3 linked regions of the Nothobranchius furzeri genome follow. The protein of the gene in region 2 interacts with the protein of the main gene of each other region in a pairwise test. Links are inferred from orthologs where the notes say so. Each region holds a gene or a part of one and is shown on either strand. Other genes may lie near its edges.

Region 1 (3,487 bases), on a different chromosome or scaffold from region 2:
GAGTCTGAGAGGGGGTGGTCTGGACTACTGCTGCAGTAGAAGGTTCCTCCTCCTCTAGAGGAGGTGGCAGAGGAGGTGGAGGTGCTGGATACTTGTTGAGCTTAGCAGCTGCCCGCTGGCGTTTCAGGTCGGCCAGCGTTTGGTGCGATTTCTCCCGATTCATACTGTCCGCAGACTCCCCCTCTGAAAGTCCAGATCCAGACGCAGGGTTGAGCTGGTAGGAGGCGCTGCGCTCCATGTAGCCTCCCCCGCTCCACTGCTCTCCAGGAACAGAAGACGCTAGAGAAGCAGAGGTCTCCCCATTTGCCACACTTGATGCAATCTTCCTGTCAGCTGCCTCCAGCTCCTCTAGGCGCGTCGTTGCTGCAGCACCAGCAGCCTGAAACAGAACATCTGGGTGAATTTTGTCGCTCTTGGTGTGATAAAAGTGATAAGGAGACATTTAAATTCACCAAAACAGCGTGCTGGTGCAGCTCTTTGTCGGTTTGTCTGTCTTCATCGTCGTCATGAGTTTCAGGCTGCCGGCCGCGCTCCTGCCACACGATCGCCTCTTTGTGATGCTCCCTCCGATACAGACTGGAGCGTTCGTTCACACTGACGCGACGCACCACTTTACTGTAGTAGCAAACGAGACACAGAGAGGGAGTTAAAATGTCTCAACTCCAGCGGGAATATCTGACTCTCACCCTCTGCTTCCGGTGCTGGATGCTCGTCTCTGCAGCGTGCCCTTCTGCCTGTCCTGACTCTTCATGATGGCGTCGTGTTTGCTCTTCAGGTCCATCATTTTGGCTCGGACCGCTTCGTCCATACACACGTCTGTTAAAACACCAGGACAGGTCAGACAAGTACTAAATGCTACTTTATGGAGCGAGTTGGGTTCTTCTCACCTAGAGGTGTCTCATCTAAGACAGACTTTGCATTTAGATCAGCCCCATGGGCCACCAGCAGCTCCACTACTTGGATCTGTCAAACAAAAACACAAACATTACTCAGAATGAAGTTTTATAAAGCGTTGGCTTCAACTGCAGTACCGACCTGTCCCCAGCAGGCGGCAGCATGTAGCGGTGTCCACCCATCAGAGTCTTTTAGCTCCATATTGACCCTGCTGTCCACTAGCATCTCTGCCACTGACATGTAGCCATTGGCAGAGGCAATATGGAGCTGAGAAGAGATCAACCAGAACACAACATGTTTTATAAGGTGTAACCCAACTCATCAAATATTGATGAATCTTCTGTCACTGTTTCCATCAGAAACATAAAATGCTTTGTATCTTCTAGCTGACTCAAACTCTAAGAAAGGACGTCTCACAGAGCAGAAGTGTCCTTGTGTCTCACCAGCGTTGCTCCGTTGTTGTCTTGTGTGTTTAAATCTGCTCCACTGTGAATCAGAGCCTGAATGTCAGCAAGCATGGTCCTTTCTTTAGCTCCCCTGCACTCATCTATCCGGTCCTGAGTTATTCCTGCCCACGGGGACAAAAAGAAAAAATAAATCAATGCAAGTCACCTCCTGCTGTTTAAACGAAGACCCTGGGTGTGTCTGAATCCATGGGCAGGATGCTAATGAGTATGGGTTCTCGCCGGTCCTTGCTAGACCGCTAAGCAGGGGCGGCATTAGGCCCGGCTACTTGGGCTCAAGCCCCGAATGTTTTATGAAAAGACTAGTGTGTGTTATGTGTGTGTGCGTGCGTGCGTGTGTGTTAAGCCCCGGATCTTCTTCAATCCTAAATCCGCCCCTGCCGCTAAGACCGGAACCCAGAGGCTCTGAATTCGGACAGTCTAGCCTTCACCTCTACGGTGGCCCGTAGGCAAGGGCGCAGATAGGATTTTCAAACAGGGGGGGGACAAAGTTCCAATGTACCCTCCCCCAAACACATACACACACACACACAAACGCAAATGTACACAAACAATTGCAGGAGCCTTAACTAGAGCTCAAGTCAGTTTGTGTCATTTCATCTAATGGTTTACGAAAAAACTAACACTATTATATACGTGTTTGAAGCCACTGTGCAATAGAACGCTGGCAACACCATCACAATCAGTCATTTGTTATTCTCCCAATCGATTACTAACCAAAACCTCATGCTTTATGCAAAACATGTTTTATTTAAACATTAACAAAAATTAAACATTAGATAATTGTTCCCATTTCAATAAATTTGACAGATGTGTGTAGGTTGGCAACATTCGTGTCCCTTTAAGAAGCTGTACCAACTTGATGCTATTAACCCCCGATTTTGTTTTCTTTCTTGCCTTATAAGTGGAGGGGATGGATTAGTCAATCTGAATCTGGGGGGGACAGATCCCCCCGTCACCCAACCTATCTGCGCACCTGCCCGTAGGTCCCGTCACAGCCGTGGCGGCAGCTACACGCAAAGGAAAAATCCTAAAGCTAGCGAAAATTGAGCAGGAATATTAAGGAGCTAGAGCAGCTTCACGTCCATCAGCAGCGTTTGTTTACAACCGTTTTCAGGTAAAGTAACTTTGTTTATTCTAGAAGCTTTCAGGACTTACATGTTAACTTTAGATGGTTTCATGTATGTTTTAAGCTACAGAACGAACTTGTTAAACATACACAACACGTTACTACAGAGTATTATCATGTAGGGAATTAATATAAACCAAATGCATTATAAATGTTGAATGCAGTAGGATATTTTCTAATGTTAATTGGACCTTAGAACTTCTTATTTTGCATCAAATGGGGGTAAAATGCTTTAAAAATCAGGCGTTTTAATAAAATAGCATTGAAGTGTTTTCAATAAGCATTTGTTTATTCAAGTTAAGCCTAATAATGATTAGATCTGTCTTAAAAATGTAAATTCTCTGTAGTTTTTATTTAACTATTCCCTGCTGCTTTTCTTTAAACTGAACAGAACCAGTGTACTGCAGGTTATGTTTGTTTTACATTTTTCTATAAAAACCTCTTTTTAATCTATTACAGGTCAGCATGCACTGTGCTGCACATCTGCCTCTGTGCTGGTGAAGTTGTGGGTCTGGAGGATGAGCGTGAGGAAGATGTGTGTGGAGGAGGTCAGTGGTGCTCTGTCCTGCAGGAAGGACCAGCAAACCACCACTAATGTTAACAGGCAAGTCATTTATGTAGGAACCTCTATTAAAAACAACACTGTGGTTTTATTTGCTGAAGAGTCATAATTGTTATACCAGTGGATCCATAAACCATCTCCTCATTTCATATTTCTGAATACATCTTAGAGATGTAACAGCCGTCGTCCGAGCCAGCCCAGCAGGCCCTGTAGATGGACGATGGACTGGACAGTGAGAGGAAGCGTCCCAAAGCTCTCTCTGCAGACCGTCCTGTATGATGTTCCTCTGACCAGAAACGTCCAGCCACGGGTCTGCTCCAGCCCTCCATCCACGTCTGGATCCTCCTGCAGCAGATCCAGCTGCACTGTTAAAGACTTCCTGCTCACTCAGTTTAAATAAACGATCCAGGAAGAGTCAGTCAGGCTAATCCTGCTTTA
Region 2 (4,802 bases):
CCTAGATGACCACGTGTACTGGTTGGGAGGAAGCTTTTCCCTTAGGGAATACTCAGCCACCATCATGTCTGGAGTAACATATGCTCCGACGCCTACGAGAAGAAAGGAGCAGGAATAAAGAAACACATGGATGCATTATAGAAAAGAGTGTTAAGAGTGTGCACCTATGACACTGCTGGTGGTTCCTCCCGGGCAGCCGACGGTGGAGAGGCAGGGGCCGTTGTTTCCTGCACTTGACACAAAAATCACATTGTGCTTCTGCACAGCCTCAGTAATGACCTCACAAATCCTCCTGAAAGGAACACATCACCAAAGACAGTCAGCAACAGCTACGCTAACCAATCTAACAACCCAAAGCCCCGGACTCACCCTGAATTAGGCCAGTGAGTGGCTTCCCCGTAGCTGTAGTTCACCAGGTCACACTTGTAGTTGATTACTTCAATCATCTGTCAGGAGCAGAAAGACACAAAGAATAAACATGTACAAAATAAAACCTCCAACTGAGCTGGGTTTTTCTATGGAGTTATACCGCGCGGATGAGCCCGGTGCCCGTTTCCATGGTGCTGAGGCGAGTGTCACCAATTTTCAATGCCAGAATTTGGGCACCAGGAGCCACGCCATTACGTTCTGGTTCCTCTGGGAAGTACCCTGCTGCAATGCTCGCCACATGTGTTCCATGAGCCCCTTGAAAAGCACATCAACACGTTTCAATGGAGATTCAAGGTTTTACAATGCAAATTTCAACAGTGAGCTGCTGTTGTCCCAAAACAATTTACCTCCACTGGTAACAATGCAGAGCATATTCCCCTCATCGTAGACATTAACAGAGTAGTTAAGCATCTCAGCTTTTCCCAAAGTAGCATACTCTTGTTTTTCTCTGTATGAGCTCAGCACGGTACACTGGGCTAGCTCTCCACACTCAGATGTGTCGACTACAGCCCTGAAAAAGTAATAATGATAAGCAACAGTAGAAAATAAAGAGGATAAGCACAGTAAATCTAATCTAAGATGGGTTTTACAGACGAGGGTGGCTTACTTCCACGTGACACCATCATGCCAAAGTATGCAGTCATACACAGGACCAGGGTCACTGTACTTCTTTTCCAGCGATGCCAGCAGCTCTGACTGATTCTGAAACTCTTCCTTCTGCAACTTTTCATTCTGGAAGGCAGAACAAAGGAGGTAATCAGCACAGAAAACAATCCTCTGGTACACACCGAGAACCTGAGCCTGTGGGTTTGACCTGTGAAGGCGTCGGGTGAGCAAGGTCAAACTCTTCTGTCTTCCGGCAGACTTCAGCGAGGGCTGCTCTGTGCTGTGGATCCCAAATCTTCTCCTTTTGCTCTTTCTAACAAGCAAAAGCACAAAATATTGCAACAAAGTCCACAAATTATGGAAAGCAAGTGTAAAGTATTGCCATTTTTCATTCATTATTATTCATTTAAGTTAATCACTAAACACAAACATTTCTGAGAGTATAGCCTGTTTCCTCACTCATCACCCATAATCCTAAAAAATAAATCTACTAAAGAAATTAAGACTATGACAGAACTAGAACAGTCAGGATGTCATATATTCCTACCTGTATCCTTTCTTTAAGAGCCTTAGGGAAGAACTCAAAGCCATTTTTAACTCCAATGCGATACTTCCCTGATGGATTGACCCAGGCAGGAGGGATCTGAAAGACATAAAAAGACACAGTATGACACACAAGATCACTTGGGGAAAATAAAGACTTGAGATGTAGGGCAATAGCTCTTAACAGAGACAGAATCTCTTTGCTTATTTCATAACAATCAAAAGAAATGCCAACCTTAAGTGTTCTACCAGAGAGGCCAATGATTGTCCCATCGTTCGGTTCTACCACTGTAGTCATGGTCACATCACCGCTGCCTGTTGTGTCTATGATGTCCACAATCTTTGGTTTCCCCTCAGTTGTGACCTAAAGGAGAGGCGATAAAAGCAAATGTGTGAGCTCTGCAACTTATAATATAATATAACATAATATAACATAATATAATATAATATAATATAATACAATTACCACATAGCTCCCTGAATGACTTCATCCTAAATGTTCCATAAATCTTCGGATATTCTCATTTGTGGGTTGTAACCTTCTTTTAGACTTGTGTCACAATGCCAAGAGATAAATGTAGGTCGTTTCAAAGATAGCTCCATGTGTGGGAATACCTCGGATCTTGCATATTTTTAGAACATAACAGCACAAGATAAACAAACGCAGGTCTAGCTTTAGCCAGTGGCTTGTGATGACTACCCTGACATAATTACTCAACTGATCTGTTTTTCTCCATTTCCTTTCAGGTCCATTCATTCGTTTTTCCACTCATAACAGACTTTAAGCTGTTAGAGTTATTATTAAGCTAACAATCGAGTATCTTGTTGTCACCCAACACCCTGTTTCATTCACAGTTGGTAGGCTAATGTTGTTTTATTTGTACCCTACCGGTGTCTGATAACACCTTGGCTTAGTTTAATTCAGTCTAACTTGATCGTTGAAATTATAATACCGTTTAATAAGACAGATGCATCGCACTGGAGATGATTTTGCCAGTTTAAGCAACTAAAAGTACTTGTATGGAACTCTAACCAAGTGACAAATGTAAACACAGTGAAGTCAATGGTCAACTTCAGCTAGCTTTCACGTTAGCATACATGTTCATAATTAAAAGTTAAATGTTTTACAGTCCAGTTGGTTGACTGTTTCATGGCAGAACAAAACATTTCCTAACGTCTACTTTGTCGTATTTAAGTTGTCATTAGGTGTTTTGGGACACTTGTTGTAGTAACAGGTTTATGTTTCACGAGTGGCTAACTGGCTAGCTGCTGCCTACGGGTAACCGTCGGCCTTTAGCTTCCCTAGCTTCCAGAAGCTCGGCCGTAAATAACACGAGGTATCCGGTCAGATTTACCTGCATGCCGGGGGCCCCTGGATCCACGCCGGTGTCGAGGATGGCGATGAGCACCCCTCTTCCATCGTACTCAGGGAACCGGGTGAGGTAAGAGGCAGCTCCGGTTTCTTTCTTGGGGAGAAGCCCGTGAAAAGGAAATGGCTCTTCGGTAGAATGAGCAGCCATGATTAATAAAACGGAGAGCGACAATGAAAAGAAAAGCAGCGAGATGGGAAGAGCCGCCGGAGAGCAACACGGTGGGTGAGACGGGGAGGAGAGCTGGTTAAAGGTGCAGCTCCTGGAAGCAGTTTCAGCTACTCCTACTATTAGTGTTGAGCTGTTGTTGGTGGTTAAAAGTCAGACTGAACATTTTCACACTGTACACAGCCCAAATGGGATCGAGTAGTAAATAATGCCGTTTTTACTTTTTGTTGATCAGCTAACAAATGTAACACCAATACTGTTCATAAGTCTCTACACCAGTTACTACAGAATCTGTTTCAAAGTGCTTCTACTAGTTTATAAATCACTCCGTGGCATGAGGCCAAAATACATCTCATGGATCTCATTCCTGTATATGTGCTCAGCAGGGCTCTGAGATCCAAGCTGCTTTTAGCTACTTTGCTGCACAGATGGAATCAGTTTCCTTACGACCTCAAATGTGCCCCAACGATAGTAACTTTTAAATTAAAATTGAAAACATTCATGTATTCATCAGCGTTTGAATGAATGTTTCTTATGCTGTACCTTCTGTCAGGAATCTTGGTGTGACCTTTGACCCAGCTTTCACCCTGGATTCTTATGTCAGTTCTCTTGTTTGCTCATCCTTCTTCCATCTCAGGAACATTGCTAAGCTGAGTCCCATTCTGTCTCGCTCTGAACTTGAGACAGTTATCCACTCCTTCATTTTAGAGAAATACAGTTTATACTAATATGCTGTGGGAAAATACGGATGAATTAGAATGAAATGTCAATTTAAAGCATGAAATAAAGTATAAATATGTTTAATTCTGTCATTTTGATGTTCCAGACTTGGGTCATGCTGCTGCATGGCTGCAGTAATTTTTATTCAAAGTTGAGCTTTGTGTTTGGATGGGAAAAACAGAAAGAAAAGTCTGCAGTTACATCTCAGGCATGTGCATGGAAAGATCTGAGCAGGAAAAATGTAGAACCAGCTCCACTGAAGAAGATCAATTTCCACAAATCAAAGAAGCTAGGCCGACAGCTCCCAGCAGCGGAGCAGTGTCACACTAAGAGGCATGTAACGAATGACAAGTGTAATCTAAGTTCTGGTTTGTGGTTGCACGTTGAATGTATTATTTCTTAATTAATTTGTAATAATTTATTCTGTGTCTTTAGATAAAGGAAAAGATAGAAACATAAAATTTATTAAAACTGAAAACTGCATCCTAATTATGTCTTATTACCCTTTCCCTAGCCTTGACAGATGATGACATCCTGGAACTAAAGGCAGTGGAGCCAGAAGCTGCAGTCCTGACAAGCATGGACAACAGTGGCACAGATACAGGTTCATCAGACACGGATACAGAGGAACAAACTGGCTTGCCAGAGCCTTTGACTGCTTTATTTGACACTACACTCAGGGAGCTCTCTAGCCTAGTGAACTAGACCAAATTCTTGCTTTGCAAAGTTTGGTCTAGGCATGCTCCATTGGAACCTCAGCAGCTCCTACCAGGACTCTGGCTAGCCAATCACAGCTCTCTAGAGGGGTTTCAAACACATAAAGAGCTGTGATTAGTCCATAATGGTGGGCCAATCATAGTGCTCTATCTGCTTAGTGAACAAATCACAGAGCTTTATTCGCTTTGTGGGCCAATCAGGGCACTCTATATGCCTGGTGGGTGGGATGATGCAACAGAGTGAAACAAG
Region 3 (4,146 bases), on a different chromosome or scaffold from region 2:
TTGTATTCAAGTCTTACACCTTATTTTACTTTTGAAAACATCACTCAAAATGCTATTATGTCCCATTCGAACATGTATTTTTCCCCCAAACAGATAAGCAAGCACAATATTGGCATGATAACGTCTACTACCACTTTCCCCTTTGTCTACTTAGCCAAATAAGAAATAAAAGTACAAGTAAGCTGTATTCAAGAGCACCATCGTCAAGAAAAACACGAGTCTCAGCACATACATTACATGCAATAGGTCATTCCAGTTAAAAAATGACTTATCTAGACATTTTGTTTTTTTGTAACAATAAAAACTAATAAAAATAAGGTCAAATAAATTATTGTTTACATGATAAAAAACAAGTTGAAGTTATGTTCACAAGGATGTTTGTGTGTAAAGTCAACATATAAATACAGCGTTTTTTTCACAAGAGTGATGACCATTTCAATTTAGGTAGGAATATTTCAACACAAATCATTAAAAACATTTTCACAGTTACTTTCTTCTCAGCGTCATGAAGGTATGGCAAAAGCATAACACTTGTTTCTAGTAAAATCTTGTTTGCAGGACAGCTGTAGCATTGTTTTACTCGCTGCGATCCTTCGGCTCTCTGTATTTGTACTGGATGTAGTCAAAGATGTCTTTCTCACTATCCACCAGCAGAGGCTCCCCAGCCACTCCTACAACAGATTAAAAGATACAAGAATGAACTGCTGTAAATAATGTAGACAAAGACAGACACCTCATTGGGCGTTGGAGAGTGTAACGGTGTCACCACCACATTGGATGGGTTCCCCATTCTCTAAACCCAAGAGTCAATGAAGAGTGAGCAACTACGCCTTTATTTTGTACAGCTTATGGTTGCATCAACCAACGCACTATTGAAAACAGATCACGTGGGACTTTTCTAGCCTATCTTTTGGGATTTTACATTTGAGATGTTTTATGTTTATTTTATGTAATTATTTTTAAACAACCTGGAACATAACGTTGGGAAGGCCAAGGAACTCAGGCGGAACAGAATGACCCCTGCCCCCCTGCACATCAATGGACAATCTGTGGACCAAATGGAGTCTTCGAAGTGTATTGGCATCCATATCTCTGCAGACCTCTCCTGGTCAGCTAAAAACTACCATCTTTTCAACCTACTGTCCTCTGGCAGGTGCTTCGGATCCATACAGGCCAGAACAAATGGAATCAGGGATAGCTTCTTTCCTAAAGCTATCACCATAATTAACTCAAACTTGCACAATAAATAAGCTGCACTGAAATATCATCAATTTGCCTGTCTGTTTCTGTCACCCAGTACTGTAGTGTGTATTTATATTTATATTAAGTGTATAGTTAAATTATTGTATAGTTTTTATAATGTGCAAAAAAGATATTTAACTATCATGCCATACCATATGTCTGACTTTGTGAAAAAGCATAATAAAAGTATTTTTATTTGCGTAAATACATTAAACAGTAGAAATAAATGCACTGGGGGTGAATGGAGACCCATCCAAGATGGCAGCCTGCCACGGCAGCACAAGTCCACAGGGTGTCTGTCTATATGATGTCTGGTTATTGAGAACTTGAACAAAGTTCTGAGTGTATCTAGCTTTGTTCGACTCACCAGTGACACCAAGTGGTCTTATGGTGTACTCATTAAGAGTGAAGCCCTTCTCCAGGGCATGAGTCCTCATATTTTTGTTAAAGATGTCACTTCCAGTAAAATACAGAACTCCACAGTAGTATTGGTCCTTGGGAATCAACCTTTTGAAATGAAATGAAAATCAATAACTAGCAAGAAAAAAACTATTTGAATAAAGACAGAATTACTCAATCGTTATTTTGAAGCAACCTAATGTATTAAAATCTGTAAGACTTCCATATTAACCTTATATCAATACGCCTGTGAAGATATTCTTCCTCATCATCATCACTAGGCTGCAGCTGACAGACGCCCTAGAGAAAAGGGGAAAAAACCACTAGATCCAGGACATTAAGAAAAGGGTCATGTACAACGGAGGGTTGGTGTGTTTCCTCAGCTGAGAACAAAACAGGCCTCACCATGAACTTGGTGTCTCCTTTGGACAAAGTGTCGGTGACGAAGCCGACAGACTCCAAATGCTCAACCACAGCATGAAGGAGTTTGGGCTGGAAAATGAGAAACGCTTAAATGAGAGAAAGCTGCATTTACTTTAGAAAACAATGAGCCACAGAATAAACGGTGGTCTGACCTGCTTCTCGGTTTGAGAAGTGTACTTTGGGTGGGTCAATAAAATATCAATATCACCACTCGATGCTGCACCTGGAAATTATTCACCTTAATTAAAAAGCTCAACTAAAACCTTAAATTAAAAACTAATTATTTTCTACTTGGGTTACCTCTCCTGTAGCTTCCACAAATTGTTCCGATGTATTCTGTATCGATTTCTGTCAACTCTCCAAGAATAAGAGTCTAAACAAAAACACAGGATCAGTGTAAGAGAACTAGGCATAAAAGCCTTAGTAGAAATATTCAAAATCACCTCCATCTTCTCCATTTCAGCTCGTGGGATTCTTTTTTCAAATTCTTCAAAGTACCTAAGTACCAAAGAAAACACCAGCACATTTATTATGTTAAAAATACTTTTAAAACCATCAAATAATAACAGAAAATGAAGGAAAGTGGTGGTGCTGGGGGATGAGCGTATTTTGGCTGAGCTTACTTGAGCCCAATCTTTTGATGATGATTTAGCTTGTGCTCTACCTTTTTCAAATCTGAAAATAAAAACCATGAGTATCATGAGAATCAATATATAAATAAAACCAAATTTGTACACAACAACTTCATGGGAAACAATGGAGATCAGAGTCTCAGAGTCATTGGATGTGAAATGAAATTAAACAAGAAACTGTTTTAGGGGAATTTGTTTCACAAACCATCTAAAGTCTTAACCCCTTCCTCGAAGAACTTCCTTGCGGCAGCCGGGCTGTGGACAGAAAACCAAGTGATGTGGTGATTGTGTATTTAATTGTAAACATCCCCCGACACTTTTTAACTGTAATAATAGTCACAATAACAATACAATACCCAATTCCAGTTACTCTGGTAAGGAAATTGATGGAAGAGCTGGTGTCATCGTTTCGGATCTGGTAGAAAATATTAAAGTAGCAAACATCAGTCAGTGTGATGCGTTTGAATCCAAACACATTTGGTTGTTTGCTCTTATATCCATTATGCAAATATCCAAACTTACCTTTTCAAGTTTCCTTAACTTGCCAGTTTGAAGAAACTCATCAATCTTTTCTGCTATTTTGGCTCCAACTCCATCCTGTAAAATTGTGAAAAGTTGAAGAAAATTAGTGATTTTCTTCAACTTTTCATGTATGTTAATACATTAAACAACGGTGACTTCTTAACAAATGCAGCAAGTGTACAAAACTAAAAATCACCAACCAGTTTCTTGGCCTCTTCTCCACTCTTAATCTTGTTGGGGTACTTGGCAATGGTGGAAGCTGCTTTCCTATTCGCCGTACAAAAGGAATCATATGTGATGTTTTAAAAACACACCAAAACTGAAGTAATGTTAACCCTTAAGGACCCGTGGTGACACAACTGATTTCAAACACCTGCAGAATTGCTTCTTGAGTCAATTATTCAAGTTTGAAAACCTAACTGACATTCTATCCATACATATATTGAAAATTATTCTACTTCTTTATTTTATTAAATAATTTTTTACATTCTGATGTATTTATTCAAATCGGTTTTCTAATTCATTATGGTTGGGTTCTAAAGGGTTAAAAGAAATAAATCTTACAAATTATTGTTAATATTAGTTGTCGTCTTCCTCCGCTTATCCGGGTCCGGGTCGCGGGGGCAGCATCCCAACTAGGGAGCTCCAGACCGTCCTCTCCCCGGCCACCTCCACCAGCTCCTCCGGCAGGACCCCAAGGCGTTCCCGGACCAGATTGGAGATGTAACCTCTCCAACGTGTCCTGGGTTGACCCGGGGGCCTCCTGCCGGCAGGACATGCCCGAAACACCTCCCCAGGGAGGCGTCCAAGAGGCATCCTGACCAGATGCCCAAACCACCTCAACTGACTCCTTTCGATCCGGAAGAGCAGCGGTTCTACTCCGAGTCCCTCCCGAATGTCCAAGCTCCTCACCCCATCTCTAAGGCTG

Evidence for each region. The genes of interacting proteins can lie anywhere in the genome.
Region 1: the proteins of tpp2 (region 2) and ppp1r16a interact in binary tests that used the Homo sapiens proteins (3 or more experiments, as listed by UniProt). The two-hybrid records come from large-scale screens. The link is inferred for Nothobranchius furzeri from reciprocal best matches to the Homo sapiens genes TPP2 and PPP1R16A.
Region 3: the proteins of tpp2 (region 2) and polb interact in binary tests that used the Homo sapiens proteins (3 or more experiments, as listed by UniProt). The two-hybrid records come from large-scale screens. The link is inferred for Nothobranchius furzeri from reciprocal best matches to the Homo sapiens genes TPP2 and POLB.

What each region holds. Positions count from the first base shown.
Region 1 is NC_091747.1:54,999,642-55,003,128, reverse strand, and holds part of ppp1r16a (protein phosphatase 1 regulatory subunit 16A), read right to left. Parts: intron 1,463-3,487; coding exon 1,338-1,462; intron 1,162-1,337; coding exon 1,036-1,161; intron 964-1,035; coding exon 888-963; intron 817-887; coding exon 687-816; intron 616-686; coding exon 453-615; intron 380-452; coding exon 1-379. UniProt on the Homo sapiens protein: Inhibits protein phosphatase 1 activity toward phosphorylase, myosin light chain and myosin substrates.
Region 2 is NC_091749.1:36,628,146-36,632,947, forward strand, and holds the start of tpp2 (tripeptidyl-peptidase 2), read right to left. Parts: upstream 3,206-4,802; 5' UTR 3,099-3,205; coding exon 2,934-3,098; intron 1,943-2,933; coding exon 1,814-1,942; intron 1,679-1,813; coding exon 1,583-1,678; intron 1,349-1,582; coding exon 1,244-1,348; intron 1,162-1,243; coding exon 1,037-1,161; intron 941-1,036; coding exon 777-940; intron 685-776; coding exon 530-684; intron 447-529; coding exon 370-446; intron 293-369; coding exon 165-292; intron 93-164; coding exon 1-92. UniProt on the Homo sapiens protein: Cytosolic tripeptidyl-peptidase that releases N-terminal tripeptides from polypeptides and is a component of the proteolytic cascade acting downstream of the 26S proteasome in the ubiquitin-proteasome pathway.
Region 3 is NC_091757.1:55,610,340-55,614,485, forward strand, and holds part of polb (DNA polymerase beta), read right to left. Parts: intron 3,486-4,146; coding exon 3,419-3,485; intron 3,339-3,418; coding exon 3,219-3,338; intron 3,112-3,218; coding exon 3,053-3,111; intron 2,952-3,052; coding exon 2,902-2,951; intron 2,740-2,901; coding exon 2,688-2,739; intron 2,563-2,687; coding exon 2,508-2,562; intron 2,438-2,507; coding exon 2,365-2,437; intron 2,288-2,364; coding exon 2,217-2,287; intron 2,134-2,216; coding exon 2,047-2,133; intron 1,942-2,046; coding exon 1,874-1,941; intron 1,750-1,873; coding exon 1,610-1,749; intron 672-1,609; coding exon 577-671; 3' UTR 1-576.